Linked DNA regions of Rhinolophus ferrumequinum. The protein of the gene in region 2 purifies or fractionates together with the protein of the main gene of each other region. This does not show direct contact. Links are inferred from orthologs where the notes say so. Each region holds a gene or a part of one and is shown on either strand. Other genes may lie near its edges.

Region 1 (10,256 bases), on a different chromosome or scaffold from region 2:
TTGAAAGAGAATGAGAACAACTGGAAATTAAAGGGCAGTGGACTGTAGAAGAGAAAGAGTTCCAGAAATCTGCATAGGAGTCTGCAGATACTTTTGCTGAATACTAAGCTGCACACTCACAGGATGAAAACTCCATGAGGTCGTGCAAAGAAAGCTACTAGGGAGCTGGAAGTTGCACAATACCAAAGCTCAGACACTTTGGTTTCCAACCAGTTAGAGGGAAGGTCCTCACTGAACACTTGGGGCATTCAGTAGAGATCCCAGAAAGGGCATGCCTTAGTAATGGAGCTAAACCAGCCCAGAGTATAATATGCTACTCTAGAACAAAGCTGAAAACAAATCTTGAAAGGATCAAACTGATCTCCAAGCCAATTAACTTCCTGCCAACACAAAGTTCAACACTCATTAAAAGCAAAATACAAAATCCAGATACTGACAACTTAACATTCACACTCCTCCGAATCCAATCAAAATTACCAGAGATGCAGAGAAGCAGAAAACCATGGCCCATAATAAGTAGAAAAATCAGTCAACAGAAACACAGAATGACAAACATAAGAAAAGTAGCACACAAGAACTTTGAAGTATCTAATACAAATAGATTCAAGTCTTTACAGGAAGCGTTAACATAACAAAAGGGAAAAATAGGAACTAAACAAAACTCAACAAGGTCTCAAGCGGAAAAGATCTTCTAAAGCTGAAAAATGTAATGCCTGAAATAACAGACTCACTCAATGTGCTTAACAGGTGTAAGACTACATACTACATGGTTTCATTTAGATAACACTCTGGAAAAGGCAAATCTGTAAGGATAGAAAACACATCAGTGGTGGTCAGGGGTTAGATAGGTTAAAAGCTGAGGAAAGAGGATAGACTACAAAGGGGTATAAGAGGATTTCAGGGGAGGGTGATGGCAACGGTCCATATTTTGATTTCTTATCTTAATTGTTGTGGTGCTTATATGACTATATGTGTTTAACAAAACTCATGAAGATACTTTAAGAGTGAATTTTACTGTGTGTACATTATACTTCAATAAACCTTTTTTTTTTAAGTGATAATATGATAAACCTCTAGGATATTAAAAAGTGTCACTTATAGGGGTGGCCGGTTAGCTCATTTGGTTACATCATGGTGCTAATAACACCAAGGTTGCCAGTTCCATCCCCACATGGGCCACTGTGAGCTGTGCCCTCCTTAAAAAAAAAAAAAAAAAAAAAGTCACTATAAGCAAAAATAAAATATTTTTAAAGATTTTTAGAGCTCTGTAAGTTTAAACTGGAAGAATCAATATGAAACCATTATTTTAAAATATACATTTATTTCCTGGCTCTGTTCAACTAAAAGAACATAGAAATTGTGAAAAAGAGATGGTTTACCATATACAAATGAAACAAGTAAGCAATATCATCACTGATTATATTTGGGTGGTGGGATTACAAATTTTTTCCAGATATTTTTGGACTTGTATTTCCTCTTCCCCCAAAATACTAAAATTTAATCATTTGTCCCAATAGCAATGCTATTACAGCCAAAGACTGAGTGAATCAAAATAAACTGGTTATAAACACCTCCTGATTAAACTGTATAAAAAAGGATACTTACTCTTCTTTAAGTCTTTTTTGAAGCTCATCTTTTGACAGTTTATTTTCACTGGTGTTTTTCATCATATCTTTCCGAAAACGATTGCTTATCATGTCAACCCTATAAAAAACAGAAGAGCGTACTTTAAATGACTTTTAAAGAACCAACATAAATAGTTGTTGCCTTTAGTAGTTAGAGAAAATATTTAATTGAACAATATATATATCAAGATTTATAAGACCTGAACCATCTCAGACACACATTCTCCATTTTTCCCAAAACAGCAAGGAGTCTCCAATATTTCAGATCATCCAGTTTACTCTTTGAAGAACTAATATTTCCAATTCATAATGACTTATCTAGACGTGGCTTATGCCATTCACCTAAATAAATTCTAGGTAAAACAAAGAATTAAATATATTAAAAAAAACCCAAACCTTAAAATACTATGAAGGAAGAATATAGGCAAACATTTCTCTCTCTCTGATGGACTTTTTACTGTTAAAAACAACAACAAAAAAAGGAGAAAAAATTCACAGATTTGACTATCTAAAAATTTAACTACTCTGACAACATTAACAACAAAATTAAAAGGCAAACAAAGCTGGGAGAAAATCTACAATAAATTTGACATATCAAGGTCTGAAATTCTCAGTATATAAGGAGTTGATATAGGAAGATCATTAAGAAACAGTCTCATCCTGCCATTTGTGACATGAATGAACCTGGAGGACATAATGCTAGGTGAAATATGACAGGTACAAAGGAAAAATACTGAATGATCTCACTTGTATGTGTAACCTAAAAAAAGTAAAACACATAGAAGCATAAAGTAGAATGGTGGTTACCACTGGTGGAGAAGTGGGGGAAATGGGGAGACGTTGGTCAAAAGTTACAAAGTTGCAGTTATGTAGGATGAATAAGCCTAGAGAGCTAATATACAGCCTGACTACAGTTAATAATACCGTATTGTATACTACAAATTTACTAAGAGAATAGGTTTCAGGTGCTCTCAACACAAAAAAGGTAACTATATGAGGAGACAAATATGTTAATTAGCTATGGAAATTATAGTTAATTCATACATGAACTATAACACATCCATTTAAAAATGTTTATACAGGTTTTTTTAAAGTGAGGAGAAAGGTGTGCGATATACTCATTCTTATCCAAGTACATATTGTGTGTTATTAGCTAACTTTTTTTAGCCTTTTCTCGGTTTCAGGTTCTATGCTAAGAGCTCTACATACACTATTTCGTTTAATCTCAAAAGCCTTCTGACACAATTACTATCATCATTCCCATTTTATAAACTTGTCCATGGTCAGTTAGGAACTGGTCAAATCAGGAGGCAAACGCAAGTCTAGACTGCGAAGAAGAGGAGAGGGCCAACATGTTGATAGTGGTTCTACCTCGGTGGCTGGATTAAGAATGACCTTTCCTATACTTTCCCATTATTTTTCAAATCTTCACATAATCACATATTCATAAAGAGAACTTTTTACAAAATGTGCAATATAATTTTGAAAGTATTCAGAGGGATTCTGGAAGAAAAGTTAGGCAACTTACATTTCCTCATCTTCATCTTCTTCATCCACCCAAACTGGCTTCTTTTGAGGTGGGAAATTATCTTTCGCTTCATTCTCCACTTCAGAGTCACCTGAGTCTTCCAGTGCTTGAACCTTGAGAAGACAAAACGATCTCAAGCACTGAATTTTTCACATCCAATGGTGGCAGACACACACATCTTGAAGTCAAATGGCTTGTAGAATGGTTTGCTTTTACAACCCTCTGATGAAATAGGACAGAATGCTATCACAGGAAATGCTGAAGACAGAATAGAAAATAAGATTAGAGAATGGCACCACAGGCTGAGCAGGTGAGGTAAGATGGAACAGTCAAGGAGTGAAAGTCTACATGCTCACAGGAAAACACCAAGTAAGACAAGAACAACAAAAGGAAGATGACCGATAAAGAAAGGGGGGGGGGGGGCGGGAGACCAGGAACTCCAGAAATTAAGGGACCAGAGGCAAACTAGCATCAAAAATAAAATAACATGGCCAGCCCGGTGGCTCAGGCGGTTAGAGCTCCATGCTCCTAACTCCGATGGCTGCCAGTTCGATTCCCACATGGGCAGTGGACTCTCAACCACAAAGCTGCCAGTTCAATTTCTCGAGTCACGCAAGGGATGGTGGGCTCTGCCCCCTGCAACTAAGATTGAACACGGCACCTTGAGCTGAGCTGCCGCTGAGCTCCCAGATGGCTCAGTTGGTTGGAAAGCGTCCTCTCAACCACAAGGTTGCCGGTTCGATTCCCCCAAGGGATGGTGGGCTGCGCCCCCTGCAACTAACAACGGCAACTGGACCTGGAGCAGAGCTGCGCCCTCCACAACTAAGATTGAAAGGACAACTTGAAGCTGAACAGCACCCTCCACAACTAAGATTGAAAGGACGACTTGACTTGGGAAAAAAGTCCTGGAAGTACACACTGTTCCCCAATAAATTTCTGTTCCCCTTCCCCAACAAAATCTTTAAAAATAAAATAACATAATTGAATATCATAGTTAACTCATATTTCATATTCTTAGACATACCTCTTCTCCATTTTTCTTAATCGTTCTTGATCCCCTACCTTTTCAAACTTTATACTGTACTATCAAGTCTAAATGTAGACCACAGAGTACTCCCTAAAGTGAGCTTGAGCTTTCCCAAAACCACGATAGAAATGTCCAAATGATTTCTACTTGCTGTTACCAGCCTATTATCCTTCAAAACCCAACAAATCCCACTTCATGTGGACTGTTTCTTTTCCTGACTAGGAAACTGTCACACAGTTCAGCACTTTTCCAGTAGTAGTTCTCTGATTCCCTACTAAGTTTCTGCAGCTTCATCCGTAAGCACCCAAAGGAGGTTCTGGCAATCAATCAGTTGATACTTGCTAGGTCCACGTTCATTTGCCAGACTGCATAATTCTCAGTGAGGCTTTATTTGACCATCCTAAGTAAAATGTCACAGACCTTCTCTCTACACACACTTATCTCCTTTTTCTCAAGTGCTTTAATGTTTTTCTTTTCAGGACTAGTCATTGACATACTTGAGTTTTACAGAAGTACTTATCTCCTTTATTTTCTGCCTCTGCCACTAGTACTCCAGGAGGCAGGGATTTTTGTCAATTTTTATCCACTGCTGTTTCTCCTCCAATGCCTAGAACAATGCCTGGGACTATCTTCGGAAAAATTCCAGATATATAATAAAAAGGATGAGAGAAAGTGCAAAAATTATAACAACTCAGGGTTTTTACAACCAGGAAAAGTATCTAGTACCCGATAGGCTCACAAATACTTGAAAAAACGAATACGTGGTCATTCTCAAAGATTGGCGAGTCAATCACTTGGGGAGATGTTAAAAGGCAGATTCCCAGGCCCGTGCCCACGAATTCAGATTCCACAAACGAAGTGGAACTCCTGAATCACCGCAAGGTACCGAGGCAGGCGATCGTCCGAACACAAGGAAAAAAACACTGAGTTTGAGGATAGTGGGGCTGAATCACCAAAGATGCGCATGACCCAGTTCGCTAAACAAATACGTGTTGAGCGCCTGCTGGATACTAGGCGCAGAGGCTCCCACGGGGGCGGAGAAAGGCGCGGTCTCCGCCCTCCCGAGACTTTCCGTTTGAGCCCCGTCGGCGCCCGCGTTCTCGGGCTCCCTCCCACCTGAGAGCTCCCCGGCGTCGCAGGTCGCCTAGACTCCGTCCCCGGAGGCTTGCCGCCCAGCGCGCGCCCCACCCGAGCGCGCCCAGCCCGCTCGCCGCGGACTCCCTCACCCGTGGGCCTCGCAAACGCTGCAGCAGCGCGTCCTCATTGTCCTCGACGTCGCCGAAGACCAGCTCCTCCAGGCACCGCTCCACTACTGGCTTGTCCTCCTCCAGCGTCAGGCGGTTCCGCTGCCGGAGCCGTTTCTCCTCCTCCACGGCGATTGCGATCGCAGCGGCCGCTGCTCTCGGCCGAGTCAGCGGTTTCCGCTGGGATGAAGGAGCAGCCTTTCGGGGCGGCCCGTCCGGCCCCGCTCCGGCTCTCCGATCCCGCTTCATTCGAGTCTTCTGGTTCAACCTCGTTCCGGTTCTCCGGTCCGGTCTCGTTCGGGTGCCCCGTTCAGGCGGCATCGTTAGCTTTGAGAAGAAACGCAGGTACTCACGTGGAGCCTCACTGCGCGTGCGCCGAAGCGCCTGTCTAGCCACTGTAGCTGAGGCCCCGGCGGGAGGGAAGGAGCCTGCGCAGCCTGCTAGCACGTGACCAACACTCTTTTTCCCTACGTAACGCCCACTCCCCTCACGAGCCCCTCCCCGTATGGGAGTTCCTCCGGGAGGACCAATCTTCCGGGTGGAAGGGGAGGCGGCGTGACTGGAGTGGAAAATTTTTTCCAACACAACTTAGCAGCTTCAACTGATTGAAAGGAGCACAAGAAAGCCAGAGTATAAACTAAGATGACTGAATGAAACTTCTCTTTCTCCTGACTTTTTGACCACTCGACTTAACACGAGCCTCAATTGCCTTTTCCACCCCTCCGTCTTGGTACGGCCCTTGGAGTACGGAGCCTGCAGAGGGTCCCACGCTGGAAGAGAGAGAGGAGGGTATGTAGGGAAGTGGGCCAATCGGGGCGCGGGTCACGGCGCAGGCGCGCTGGGGAGGGAGGGCTATGCTAATGTTGTTGATATCCTGGGGCCACCCGAGTTAAAGGGGGGAAATCCGGGGGCTGCCGCAGCCGCCACCGGTCTGGGCCCAGCCAGGGCACCCCTGTAGTCGCCGTAGTCCCGGGGAGAGGCGCCTGACCCCAGCCCGGGGAGAGGGCGCCGCCGGCCCGGGGAGCACGGACAACCCCTACCCATGAGGCCCTGATGGAAAACACAAAGGATCTGGTGAGAGCCTAGCGCGGCAGCCGCTTTGTGTACCAGGTGGGGGGGACGCTTGCAGCTCCCCGACCCTAGGAAGTCCTGCAGCTCCTTGACCCGGCTCCCAGGCCTGTTTCTCCATCCCACGCCCCCTCAACCTCCGGAGCTCCCCTCCCCCTACCGGCCGTTAAACGATCCAGGGGGTTCCCCTCCCCCCACCCCCTCAGCCCCGCTCTCCTCGGGGTTCTCTCTACACTTTTCTCTATCTGGAACAAAAATTTTAAAAGAAAGTTTTCCTCTGCGTCCCGCCCCCTCCCCCTTCAGCTCTGGCTGTAGAAGAAGTCTGGGTTTGAGACTTTCCCTTTTTCAGCCGCCCAGGGTGGGAGAGTGGAGTCCTCACTTCCCCCAGGGAGGCCTAGTTGTAGTACTTTGTGGAGGAAGGCGCCGGGCCGCTTTAGGGCGAGTGCCGCGAGGCCTTTCGCACGTGGAGGTGGAAATATTGAAAGGGGGCGGGGTGGGCACATGTGGGAGGGAGAGGTGGGAGTGGTGTTTGCGAAGCAGCCGCCTGGGCCGCTGTAGTTTACAAGGGTTCTAGGTCCGTGGGCTTCTATGACGAGTGTGTTCTCTTTTGTGAAATAAGAATCCTAACATTTCAGAGTCGGAAGAGACATTAGAGGTCATCACAGCAGCCGTCCCCTCTGCAGCTTCTCTGACAACTGGTAGGTAGCCTGGCCTTTGCTTAAACTCCTGCAAACACGAGCGATCGCTGCTAGCCAGGAAAGCCTGCTCTGTTTTTCAGTTGTCCTGATTGTTTGCCTCCCCTTAACAGACCCTGCAGTCTCTTCATGTCCTGGTTACGCTGCTCCCTTTTTTACTTCTCAAATTTTCTCTCACATCCTCCTCACTCACCCACCCACCGCTCACTGGCCTATATTTTGTGTGCCAGGAAAGAACGTCAGGGAAGTGGAGGGAGGAGGGTTTGCGAGCTAGTGAGGTCCTTGCTGAAGACTTTGCGGGGTCAAGTTTCAAAAGTGGTGGCTTATGTGTCTAAGAAGGATTGATATTTTACTACTGAAAGCTTGGAAAGTATGGTTTGGGGATTTCGTGCCTGTGCTCTCTCGCTAGTGCATCTCTTTGAAATTTCAGCAGCATCTCTGTAGTTCTGTCTCAGAGCACCTTTGCTCGTTGCCTAAAGCGCTTTCCCTAAGGATGCGCCTAAAACTGCTTCTTGGGGGTAGTACTGACGCTATTAGAGGGATGATCGGAAGAAACCCCCCTTCCTCCTTTTGACCTGCGTTTTCCTTCAAAGCTGGTCTTCCTTTTCAGGGCCTCTCTTTCACAGTGCTTTCATTTCTTTCTAGTTTTTTCCAAGTCTTTTATGAGCTTTGAAACTTTTGCAACACTTTAATATTTGCTTAGTTTGCGATATTTTTTGTGCTTTTTACATTAATATGTGCCAGTATTTATCGGTTGGTAGTTGAGAGAGTTCAGTTTCTACTATTGTCTGTCACTTAGTGTTTTTCTATTGTTCTCCTTCATTTGGTGAGCTTTACTGCCTCCAAAAGTATGATAGTTTTGTTGGCATGAGAATCTTGGGGGCACATGTTTTCCTCTTCCTACTATGGTGAAGTGGGAGTCCAGACATAACAGGGAAAATGTAGAAGTAATGAATCCGATCTAAAAGCCAGGGAATAAATTTCACTTTAAACTCCCAGTCCCGTTTAAAATGTTAGAGCACAGACATTTTTTCTCTCTCCCCCTTTTATGACTTAGAGACTGTTGTTCTGCTCCAGTGTGCTTAAACTATATTTTTTTTCATTTGTTTACCTCAACACTAGAGAGTGTTTAGAAAGAAAACAGCTTTTTTTGCACTGCCTCCTCTGAATAACAAATAGTTTCTATTTATATAGAACCCATACTCAAGGCTTCTGGATGCCTTGCAAATTATGGCAAAAACTGTCTTGAATAAGTATCTGTTCATAAGTATCTTATTTGGGCCATGTTTTTTAACCATTTAATTTATAATTTTATACAAACTTTGACATACAGTATTTCCTATAAATCTAGTCACTAGAATTTAACATGGCAATGGATTCTAGATACTGAAAAGAAATAATATAGATGTAAAAGTCTGTCTTTAAAGTTGTAAGTAAAGTTTTAATATGGAGCTCCAAGTTACTTCCTGCTTGCTTTAAACATGAACTGTCATGACTTAAGTTGACTGACTTTGGAGTCGTTTGCATTCTAAACATACTAGACAGGAACAACTGGTTTTATTTTTAAAGAACACGGTGCTGTATTTTTTATGGCTGGCTATATGTTGACCTAATTAGTGTCTAAACCTTCCTAGATGCTTCTAGTCCTTCAATTACATTGGAAGTTAGCAATTTAAATGGTTTTAAAACATAACATAGTAGTCAAAAGAAGGTAAAACTATAGCTTAGAAGTGAAAACAACATATTAATATCATAAATACTGAACCACTAAATTACTATAAGCCCAGAGTACAGTGGTTTGAGTGACCACATTCTAAAATTAGAAAAGTTGCTATTCTTTTGGTTGCTCCTTGTTCTCAGCTTTTCATTTTTAAAATGTTTACTAAATAAGATTTAGCCTTTTCACATTGTAATTTAAAGGTGAGCCAGTTGAAGTATCTCATTAGTTTCAGGATTTCAAATCCTAGAGAAAGATTAAAAACATCAGGACAGTAGAAGAGGAAGGACTTAAAATGGTTAAAACAAGCTAAGATATATCTCCTCTAATACCAGGGTATTCCTAAGTGTCAAAGACTAGTTTTACTTTTATGTAAATTGATTTAGATTTAATCGTAATTATTTTCATAAACCTTTTTTTATTAGGATTTTTTCCCCCAGAAATTCAGAATTGCTCTTGTTGCTTTTCTGGAACCCACAAGCAAGGGTGGAAAGAAAATAATTCTATCTGAATAAACCCTGAGTTTAGGTGGGATAAAGTGATTTAGTAAGAGGGGCACTGGCAGACTAGGTTTGGAGTTTCAGTTTTGCCACTAACCAGCTTCGTGGCACTTGATGAACAAGATCCTGTGCCTCAGTTGTGTTATCCTCACAGTTGAAGAGTTGGTTTAGAATCAGTGTTATCCAATAAAACTTGCTACAGTGATGGAAATGCCCTATATCTGTGCTGTCCAATGTGGTAGTCACTGGCCACGTGTGGCTGCTGAGCACTTAAAAGGCAGTAGCTAATGTGACTGAGGAACCCAATTTTTTAATGTAAGTTGCCACATGTCTATCATATTGAACATACAGATATATAACTGTATTTTCCAAGCTTAGCTAATAACTAGAATCACCTTTTAGGGTTCTTGTGAAAATATAAAACCTCTCTCCTGTAAGCTGTTGTTCAGGAGGTCTGTAGTGGAGCCTGGAAATCTATTTTTAATGCATGTCCCAAAAAGATTTTTATTACATTGGTTAGGGAAACACTGCATTAGAAGATTTGTGAGCTCCCTTCTAGTTCTCACTTTAGAATTGATAACCTAGCGTAGTAGAAATGAGCTTTGGACATAGTTGGCAAACTGCCTGGGCTCTAACTCTGCCACCTCCTGACCTGTGATCTTCGGCAGTTGCCTAATCTCTTTGAACTTCATTTTCCTCATCTAAAATATGGACTGAGCATCAGCCCTGCCTCCCTTCCTCCCTAGGTTTCTGGAAACCTCCAATCAGATGTGCTGACCACTGTATATGAAAATGCAAGCTGCTATAAACAGTAATTTAAATGTTATGCTATCTTCCCAGAACCCCTTTTCC
Region 2 (10,373 bases):
CCCTGGCTCGGTGCTCCTCACCGGTTCTTATTCGAGGGCCTGTCACATCCGCAGCTGTGACTTGCTGTGTCTGCTTTGTATCAAGTGAGTCAGGCAGTTAATCTAAGTGTACGCGTCAGTTATAAAATCTCGGAAAAAAAAAATCCCCTTACTGGAGGCAAAGTGACTGATTTTGGCACCACAATCACACGACTCTGGGTTACTTTCTGTTGCTTTAATGTTCGGCAATCGGAGTGTATTCCTGTCAGCCCAGCAGGTGCCTGGCCCTCCCTCCACTCACTCACTGCTCGGTGTGCAAGTTACTCGGTGATACAAAAATAACCACTACAAATTCTCTGTATCTGGCATATAAAAACTGAGCAAAAGGATCTCAGTGGTCGTTACCTTAAAAGAAAACATCTCAAAAAAATACAACACAGGTTTTTCACTTCTGCAGTATGTTTTTCATATAAAACACTAGTAAAATAGGCTTCTTAAAAATTAAATAGTGAAATAGCAACCAAATTATATACATCATTACAGTACAAGTGAATGAGCCAACACATCCAGTCCCCAGTTTCTCTGGCGGTGACGGAGAGGCCGCCGTGTGTGGCTCGATGGCCTGACTTTCTCCTGAGGTCGCAGTCAGTTGAGCAAGAGCGGCGCACAGACGGAGAGACGGACCCTGGGAAGACTCGCAGCCCTGGGAGGTGGGGTTTTATTGCTTGCTGTTCTAGGCCTTCTCTGCTGCCCACACCCTGGACCCTCAGCCCGTGTGTGGCCTCTGGGACGTGCAGACGAGCTACGCAGATGAGCCTGGGTCACAAAGCTCTTGAGGCCTGGGCGGGGAGGTCCTGGTCTTTGGGGTCCACCTGAGCCCCAGATGGTGAGTGGAGCCCCCGGGCCCCAGGGCAGGCAGCAGAGGCCAGAGCATTGGCCCCCAGGGGGGTGACCACGGCTGTGACCGCCCGCCTGCACCCGTGCAAGTGTCTACGTTCGGCGCCGCTTAGCGGCACTGGGGCTGGAGGGGTTGCTGTTGGCGGTCAGGACCTTGTCGGTGACCCGGCTGCGCTTGCGCTTGTCCGCCCCTTCCTTGGCCCCCAAGTCGGAGGCGTTCTTCTCTTTGTCTTTGCCAGACCTTTCGGTTGCTTTCCCCAAGCTTCCTGAAGATGAGAAAACTGGGAGACAAAATCATTTAGCTGAAAACAGAATATCCAGAATTTTATTTCATCTTCCTGTTCAGTTAAAACATTCTATATCCACAAACTCAACACTCTGAACCCACAAGCCTCTCCTGAGCTGCGGGCGGTCCTGACAAGGGCCCGGTCCTCCTGAGGACGTGCCTTGGGCAGCACTGGCTCAGGCTGTAGGACCCTGTCCCGCCCGGGGGAACCGGCTGACACTCGGTCTGCCCTGTACTGAGACGACCCACACACTTTCACGTGGACCGCCTGCCCTGCATACTGGGTCTGCCTGACTGGGCCTCAGTGCCCGAGGCCGCCGCGGTGCATTCATGGTGTCGGCCACACACGTGCTGTCCACAGGGCCAGGCTCCTGCCTGAGTACATGGAAAGTACTTCTCAACTGTGGGACCAGGCAGAGCAGCTCTGGCTGCCAGGGACCAGAAATCCAGGCCAGGATCTGTGGCTACATTCTGTGGGGAGGCCCGGCCAGGGGTGGGGTGCCATGTCCCTCGGGGACCCCAGGGAAGGGACGGGGTGTGTTCCGTACTTACCATCGTCGGCCCCGTTGTGGGGGTCCACATCTTCCTTCATTTCCTCCTTCATTTCCTCTTCAATGATCACCTTTCCTGTGAGGGAGATGGCTGCCATTTCCCAAAGGCCCACACTGGTGGGGGGCTCAGGCTGCCCGGCCCCTTCTAGAGAAGCCGACGGCTCTTGAAGAAATCCTCCTCCACCGTGGCGGGCCGAGCCTCAATGCCAGTCACCCTAACTCCTCCCCAAGGCTCGTGACCTTCACCCTGATACCACAGCCTGCCTTTCGAGCTCCCAAAGCTGACCTCGCCTGAGTCTCACCTTCCCGGACTTCCTGGATGATTTCTTCTGGGAGGACGAAGTTCCTCTCTGGGTTCGGGAATGGAAGAATCTCAGACTCATGCTGGTGGCAAATAAGGCATTTTATTTTTAGAAACAAAAAAGAAAAGATGATTTTGGCAAGTGAGTAAAACTGCGTATGAGCCAATTCAGGAGCACCCCGGGGACGCACAGAGCCATCTTGGGGGGCTGCTGAGGTACGCATGAAGGGGTGAAGACCGCTCGTTCTTCTGCTGGCACAATCGATGGGCCCAGAGAAGACGCAAGTACATTGCCAACACTGGCAGGAGTCAGGAGGGGGACGAAAGACGGTTTAGTGTCACCTGAGACGACACTCAGGCCCTCAGGGACACAGGCCCTCAGGAGCAGAAGCGGGCAGCAGCTGTCGCCTTCAGAAGGCAGGGACAGCCCTGAGGTTGTCTATGTGGGAGCAGTCTGAAGACACTGAGGGTGTCGGCCGGGAAAGCCACCTGCAGACAGCAGGTAAGGAGAGCAGAGGGCGCCGGGCACCACAGCCAGCCTGTCAGGTTCCACCTGTCCTGCAGGGCACGCATGCCAGAAGGCGGAGCGCCTCGGACACAGGGAGCGCCCGAGGAAGGCAGGTGAGCTGGTGGGAGGCGATGCCACCCTGCCACTCTCAGCGGCCGTGTTAAACCAGGCAGCCAGCTCTGGGAGCTGCGAAACCCCACAGGATGCTGGGTGCCCCGCTGGTCGCCCTGCGGGTGGGGTCCAGGGCACAGCATCACCTTTATCCCATCTGCCTACGGCAAGGAGACCCAAATGACTCAAACGACTTGTCCAAGGCCAACAGGAAGCGAGGGGCGCACGGGATCCGGACGCTCTCCATCTGTGATGCGCACGCACGTCTAGGATGGACGGCTGGCGTGGCCCAGAGCCCAGCAGGGAGGCAGAGCCGTCCCTAACCCAGCCCAGGCCCGCTCCTCGGCCCCCAAGTGCTGCCGCCCGGCCTGACACCTGCTGTTTCTCTGCCAGGAACACCCACCTGTCCCTGCTGACCGTCCTGGTCACTAGGTAACCGGGCGAGCTGGGAATTCCATGGGGCCTGGGACCCTGCCTGCCTGGTGCTCATCTGAGCCTGGCTGGAATCCGGTCACCTTCCGGCCCAGAGCACTCGGGGGCCGCCCGTAAGAGCCACGGTGGCCGGGGCTCCCGGCTCTCTTCCTGAAGAGCCCTCCACTGACCCCCCACCTAAAAGGGGCTGTGTCCGGGGGCCCAGCTTCCATCACTGGGGTCTGTGCTGCTTGTAGGACCCTTGGAACCACCTCGTTTAATGACACGTCCCCAGCGGCATGGCAGGTTCTCTGAGGACAGGGCCTGGGGGGGACCCCGCCGCCGCTGCGTCTGAGGGAAGGCGGGTCTCTGGCCTCGGGAACTGGGGGGGCGGGGGCCAGCTCACCAGCGCCTGCATGTCGTACATGGTGCTCAGGTGGTCCCAGATGACCTTGGACGGCACCTGCCGGCCGATGTTCTGGCTGAACTTGTCCCTGATACAGATCATGTGGAAGTGGCGGTTCACACCTACGGGAGAGGAGGCAGGGGTCAGCGTGGGGGAGGCGACGGGGTGGGAGTGAGGAGAGAGGGGGGGGCAGGGGGCGGGGGGTGGAGCAGGGGGTGCTGGGTGGGTGCAGAAGGGGAGAGGCGTCACGGGGGTGTGGGAGGGGCCTGGGCCCACGGGTGCACAGTGGGAGGTGCAGGAAGGCGCAGGGTCAGCGGGGGGAGGGGGCGAGGGGGTGGGAGGGCCCCGCCCTGCGCGCGCCCCCGGCCGTTGCCCTGCCCGCCCCGCCCCCACGCAGGTCCGCGGCGCTCCGCTCACCGACGGGCTTGTGGCCCAGCATGGCGTGGAAGAGGCACACCTCCACCTCGGGGCTCCACACCACCGTCTCCTCGGCTGGGCTGGTGGCCGCCTCCCCCGGACCCTTGTCGCCCGCCGCGCCGCCGCCGCCCACCTCAGCCTCCCCCATAGCCCGGCAGCCCAGCGACGAGCCCCGGGTGGGAGCGGGCGCGGCCACGGGCTCCGCGCAGGCGCACTCGCGGGGGGAGCGCGCTCGGCGGGCTCGCGCTCGGGCTCGCCCGCGGCGCCGGCGCCGGCGCAGGCGCAGCGGAGGCTCGGTCCCGGCGGGCGCCCGCCGTGTCCCCTTGCGGCGCGGCGCCCCCTGGCGGCCCGACCCTGAAGCGCAGTACCGTCCGACCCCGCGGACCTCCGGAAATGGAGTGGATTTGAGGTGAGGGATGGAAACGCTCTATCTTAGGCTGTGGCGCTCGGGCTGCACAAGTCTGGGTAAAGCCCACTGACTGTAAATGGCGGAATTGCAAATTATACCCCATAAAGCGGGAAAGAAAAAAAAGAACAGGCAACTGTCAGTTCTGCGAGTTAAAAGGGCTTCGACTGCGTCTGTCTGGCCTCTGGCCTGAGCGCTGCACGGACGGGCTCCTGCGCACCGGGGCAGGGGCCGAAAGGGCCCCGCCGCTGTGACCGCCGGCCTCCGGGCTGAATGACTGGGGTTACCCCGGGCGGCGGAGCGGTTTGGGCGGGGGCAGGGGTGGGGCCCGAGTGCGTGTTAATGGCTGGTCGGCACCGGGGGCGGGGCCGGGACCGTGCCGCTAACTTGGGGCAGCCCAGTGACGAATTCAAGGCAGCACCCAATCAAGGCCCGCCGGGGCCCCCGGCTCCGCCCCCAGCCCTCCTGTCCCAGCCCCGGGCCCGCAAAGCCACGCCCCCGCCGTGCCCCGGCGGAGAACGCTGCTGCGCAGGGCGCTCTTCGCCTGCCAGTGGTGTAGACTCTCGCTGGGGCTTCCGGGTCCCTTCCTCTGGGGCCTGCCAGCTTGCGAGTCGAGCAGCGCGCTGGGCTTCTTTAGGTCTCAGCTTCCTCCTGCGTGCGATGGGACCCACAAGGGCGCAGTTCCCAGGTGTATTATTGATGAGGGTGGGCCACCCTGCCAGCCGTCTGCTGTGTGGCCCGACACAGCTCAGGCTTCGTCGTAAAGAGCTGGAGGCACGCTGCTGGGCGCTGTCCCTTGGCGGTGCAGCCTCATCGCCCGGGACAGCCTGGTGGACTCAAAGCTGGGTCAACTGGTCGGGGCCTGAATCTCGGCTTTCCATCTGTGCAGGAGGCTGCTGGCAACGCTAGTCTCCACAGTGCCAGGTGGGAGACGTGGCCCAGGGAGGATTCTGCAATGGCCCAGGGCCACTAGCTGTCATGTGAGCCGCGAGGTGGCGGGGAGGAAGCTCGGCCCACAGCCACTTGACACAGGCTGCTCCCGCAGTAAAAGCTCAAGGGGAGGGCCTCCTCATTATTAATCTCCTTACTGTGCCCTGGACACCTCGGGGGCCCAGTTCGTCTGCCAGGCTCACTCTCTGCTCTCCCCCACCCCATCCCTGCCTTCTCCCAGTGGAGAGCCTCTTCCCCCCAGGTTCCTGGGGACCCACCAAGCACTGCCAGCTTGGGTGGTGAGATTTGTGCTCCAGCACTAGCCAGGGCTTGTAGCCCACACATCTCACCTCTAGGGGGCGCCTCCCACCCACTGTTGGGACCCAAACCAGAGCTTCTGAGTCAAACATGTGCAGGCAGGAACCAAGTGAAGGCTTGTTCTCCTGGCACCTGGCCCACCCAGAGGTCGCCAGTCACAGCATGTTGAAAAGGAAGTCCAATTCTTCCGGAGGGGCATATGAGGAATCCCTGTGATGACCCCCAGGATGTGTGTCCCGCCCTGGGGGTGGGGGTGGGGATGGGGCATCAGATCTGTGGTCAGCTCCCTTTATCCTCACAGCACTCTGTCCTGGTACTAGGTATTACTGTCCCCACCACGTCACCTGTAGAGCTAAGCTGGGCCCAGGGGCTGTGGGGAGCCCTGGGATGCCAGGCTCAGTTGCTGGTCATTCCTGACTGGTGTTTTTTTTGGGGGGTGGCTTATTTTGGGGGGTTGCCAGAGTTAACATATAAAAATAGAGGATGGTCAGTTAAATTTGAATTTCAGATAAACAGTGAATAATTTTGCAATATAAGTATGTCCCCCAAATTACATGGGATACACTTATATAAAAAAAGTATTCATTATGTAAAGTTAGGATTGAACCGGGCATCTTGTATTTTATCTGATAGTCGTACTCCTGAATTTGCCTGAAGTGCCTTCTGGTCGGCAGCTGGATTTGTCCCAAAGCGTGGGGGCCACCAGGTCCATAGTACCCCACTTACCTCAGTGGGGTGAGCTGTGTGAGTGAGGGACAGGGTGGCCCTGTCACTGCTTGGCACTATCGGGATTTGTAGAGGGAGTGAGCAGCTCGGCTGTGATGGCCGAGGGGAGACCCCAGGCCCTGGCTCCCCAGGGCTGGTTTTGTGGGTGTCAAGGACCCCAGGTCAGGGTGCCTTGACTTCACCACCCCCTGCCTTGATGGACAGTGTTTGTGCATTTGTGCTGGAAGCCTGTCGTCACGTGTGCCTCCGGTGCCGGGGGGTGGGATGGGCCAGGTGGAGGAGAAGGGTGCAAGCTCTGCTAGGCCTGGGCCTCTCCGCCTGAGTGTGGCCAGCTCTCACACACCAGTCGGGCGTGGGTCAGAACTGCACGTTCTCCCAGGCACACATCTGCACGTGTGTGCATGCACATGTCAGCACGCACACACAGCACCGCTCTGCTGAGTCAGTTTGGGGGCGGGCAGCAGTCCTCCAGGGGTCTCGAGGTACAGCCCACGGAGGGAGGGGCCGCCCAACTACCTCCAACGCTTTCCCACGTTGCCTTGCAACGGGCAGGGAGGCCAGGCTGAGCTGCTTTTTATCGTCTTTTCATTTTCCAGTTCCTTGGGGGGATCCCAGCCTGCTGTGGGACGTGTGGTCCTCCAAATCCTTGGTCACAGCCTTTTTGTCATTAGAGCCAGGCCCTGCAGGAAGGACCTTTGTCCAGCTGGCAAATGGTGGCTGTGAAAGCTTATGGCCTCATCTTCACCTGCAGGGACCAAGCTATCAGGAAATAAGAGGGTCTCCTGCTTATTCTGTGCCACTGGCTGTTATTATCCTCTTTGTGTTGGGAAAACTGAGGCACGGGAATGCTGGGTAACAGGTCCACTATGCCAGATAGGGGCCAAGCTTTGCACTCTGCCCGTGTGACCCCAGAGCACCAACCCCCACTCTTTTGCCTTTTCTGAGAATGGGGTCCCGTGGGTCACCACTCGTTTTTCCTTGCTGGGACTGACTGTTCCAGCCCTTCCTCCCTCCCCTCCTGTGGCCCCCAGTTTGCAGGAAGCCCCTTCTTTAGGAGGGGTGTCAATGCTGAGGCCGGTGTAGAGCTGGGTGAAGTGCGGGAACCCACCCAATGAGGGGCCCTGCTGCAGCAAGAGAGAGCACGTGGGCCATGGGGACGATGGGGGCGATGGGGACAATCGGGAGACAATCTCAGCTTCTTGGCTCAATGCAGCCCCGTCCCGCACGGCAAGGAGGGGACCCTTGATCTCCAGAGGCTAGTGTTTTATTGAACTTGGCTTTGAAGACCCCTGTCCCCAAGATGACTCAAAGGCAACTCCAGCAATGCCCCTGCCCCATAGACCCGCTCCCCTCACCCCGTCCCCTGCCCCGTTCTATTTATTTTAAGATGAAGCCTTTTACGCGGTCACATGATGGCGGGTGCCATGCGTCATTTCCCACTGTTATTCTCATCTCCTTGGGTCTCTTAGAAACCTGGGACAATTATGACTTCAAAATGCTGCAGGACGGTGATGTGACAGTTGCCACATGCCACAGCAGTTGTGCCTGGGTTATTCATCCATGTCAGCTCTCAAGTCAGTTTCAAGGGCACCAACAAGGGGCTGAACTTATTTTAAAAAGATGGAATCTTTCCCCATTAATTCAGCTTCCAAAGGCCAGTTCTGCTTTCTTGTGCACATGCAACAAAAGGAAATGGTTCTTTGGGTCAGTGTGGAGAATGGCTAATGCTCTCTTTGTGAAAGGGAGTATTTTTCTTATAGGCAGGAAAAGTCATTCTGAAATAAAATTCCTTTTGCCCTGCACTTCTCCTGAGCCAGGCTCTGTACCATGTGCAGTGTGCTGTACGTCTCCTTCTCCATCCGTCATCCATCCATCTATCCATGCATCCTACAGACGTTTGCCGGGCACCCACTAGCTATGTGCCAGGCACCGACGTGGGAACACAGCACGGCTGCTGTGTTGGAGACAAGGGAGACAGATGAGAAGAGCACAGCTACTGCTCTGATAGTGGAGGAAAGCAGACAGGGCCAAGGCGGGTGGGGTCGGTTGCCTAGAGGCCACAGGTGCTCACCTGCCGTTTTCTTTAGTCTGTTGCCGCACTCGTCTTTCTGCATGAGGGAGAGGGCTGCTTCTCTCCCTTAGAACTGTACCGTCTAGGTCGACCCGGTCTGCCCACCTCACCGCAGTCACACAAATGGTGCTAAGGATCCCCCATCTGTGTGCCGTGGTTTCCTCAACCACCCGACTCTCGGCCATTGAGAACTCTGTTTCCTGTAAAAACCGACGCTTGAGTTTCCCACAGTCCTTTCTTTCCTACTGCCGCTGGCTTGTGGAGTTGGGCCCGTGCGCCTCTGTGGGGTCTGGGGCTCCACCAACAGCCAAATTGGGCAGGTCTCTGTGCAGCAAGCCCAGGAAACCTTGACTGAGGAGGGAGGACTCTGACCTCATGTTGTAGTGGACCCCCGGGCTACTTCGTTTGCCCTTTGACACCAGCTGCTCCATTTCAGAACTTGGGGTCCCCGCGTATCCGCCAGAGGAGGCTCTGTGTATTGAGAAAGTGCCTGGAACGTCTTCCTGCAAAGCAAATGCTTTCTCTCGAGCTTGAGTAAGACATGGACCCAGAACATTTCAGCCCATCTGAGCACAAACCTGGGCCTGTGTCCCAGCCGGGCCCTGGGGCTTATAAGGTCCTTCCTGGGAAAGCCAAATGCTTGGCAGGGCTGGTCACCAGAGGAGGTGAGCACTAGTGGGCAGCACTCACAGCTCACAGCAGCAGAAGGAAGGGGCTGGCAAGGCACGGGTCCCGGCTGGGGGCCACACTGCACTGGAGTGTGTGTCCCTGTGTCCTGCCTCTTGTGTCCCCTCACTGCTGGCCACGCTGGCCCAGGCCAGTCCTGCCCACGGCATCTTTTTCCTCGTGAGCAGCGCTTGGAACACCATGAGGAGTGGGGACAGCTGATGCAGGCGCTCGGAGCTGTCCACTCCTTGCAGAGAGGTGACCAGTGGCCCCACCCTGCCTCACCCGTGGCCCCCAACTCAGATCCAGGACGCAGGCTTCTCAGGACGACACAGGGGACAGCCACAGAACTCCCAGCATCCGATGGCATCTGCAGAATGGGTCCTGCGTGTTCCTAGCGCTGGATGAGCCAGCTCCCCTGTCCTGTGGGTGGTGACCGTGTGTCACTCACTGGGCCACAGGAGAGGCCGAGCTCAGGGCTCACGTGTGGATTGTCCTCTGCACACAGAAAAATGTGCAGGGATAGTAGCACAAAGCTATCAAAAGACTGAAAAGCCCACGGGTACCAAGCTGTGGCGAAGTCGTCAGTCCAGCAGACACTGGATCGATTTCCTATAGCCGCTGCAACAAATGACCACAAATGTAGCAGTGCCGAAGCGCACCGGCTCACTGTCTCATGCTGGTGTGGTTGGGTCTCCGCTCAGAGTCTCACACGCTGAAATCGAGGTGTCACAGGTGAGTGCCTATTGGGCATTTCTGGAAGAAGCCGCTGCCCGCTCACCCCAGCTATGCGCAGGATCCAGTTCCTTGCAGCTATAGGACTGAGGGTCTGTCCTGGCTGGCTGTGGCCCCCAGCTGTCCCCTTCTTCTCCGGCCCAGGGAAGCCAGTGAAGGCAGGTGGGGTCCTTCTTACACTCTGAGTCTCCCTGACTTTACCTCCTGCTCCAGAGATGCCTGGGAAATGGTTCATGTGACTCCGTGGGGCCACCTGGTAACCCAGGACACTCTGCCCCACAGTGTTTGTGGCCTTAATCACATCTGCAAAGTCCCTTTGCCCTGTCACATAACACGACACATATTCCAGGCCCTGGGAGTTGGGGTGTGGACGTCTGCCACCTTCCTGAGAACGGGGCGGTGGCCCTGTGAACCTGCCTGGAAGGACCCAGAGCTGCCCTTGGAGGCGGAGGGCTCGGTGCTACTCACCCATGTCCCTGCCCAGGACAAGAGATGGCCTCCTGGGGCTGCCTGTGGGAGGACCTGAGGGGTAGAGCAGGGACGGTGACATTTCTCCGCATCAGCTTTGTACCTCTTTTGTGTTGTGCCATGTGCATACATTATCCATTTGGAAATTATGGGTACATATATTTGAAAATGATATGTTTTCAAAGC

Evidence for each region.
Region 1: the proteins of MRGBP (region 2) and MBTD1 purify together in Homo sapiens (affinity purification with mass spectrometry; 4 studies listed by BioGRID and IntAct, counting the BioPlex papers as one, with this or other methods). This does not show direct contact. The link is inferred for Rhinolophus ferrumequinum from reciprocal best matches to the Homo sapiens genes MRGBP and MBTD1.

Annotation. Positions count from the first base shown.
Region 1 is NC_046304.1:32,512,947-32,523,202, forward strand, and holds the start of MBTD1 (MBT domain-containing protein 1), read left to right. Parts: upstream 1-5,949; 5' UTR 5,950-6,213; intron 6,214-6,264; exon of another isoform or gene 6,265-6,498; intron 6,499-7,127; 5' UTR 7,128-7,190; intron 7,191-10,256. UniProt on the Homo sapiens protein: Chromatin reader component of the NuA4 histone acetyltransferase complex, a multiprotein complex involved in transcriptional activation of select genes principally by acetylation of nucleosomal histones H4 and H2A.
Region 2 is NC_046306.1:928,117-938,489, forward strand, and holds MRGBP (MRG/MORF4L-binding protein), read right to left. Parts: upstream 4,084-10,373; 5' UTR 4,016-4,083; coding exon 3,868-4,015; intron 3,573-3,867; coding exon 3,451-3,572; intron 2,098-3,450; coding exon 2,016-2,097; intron 1,790-2,015; coding exon 1,715-1,789; intron 1,158-1,714; coding exon 970-1,157; 3' UTR 200-969; downstream 1-199.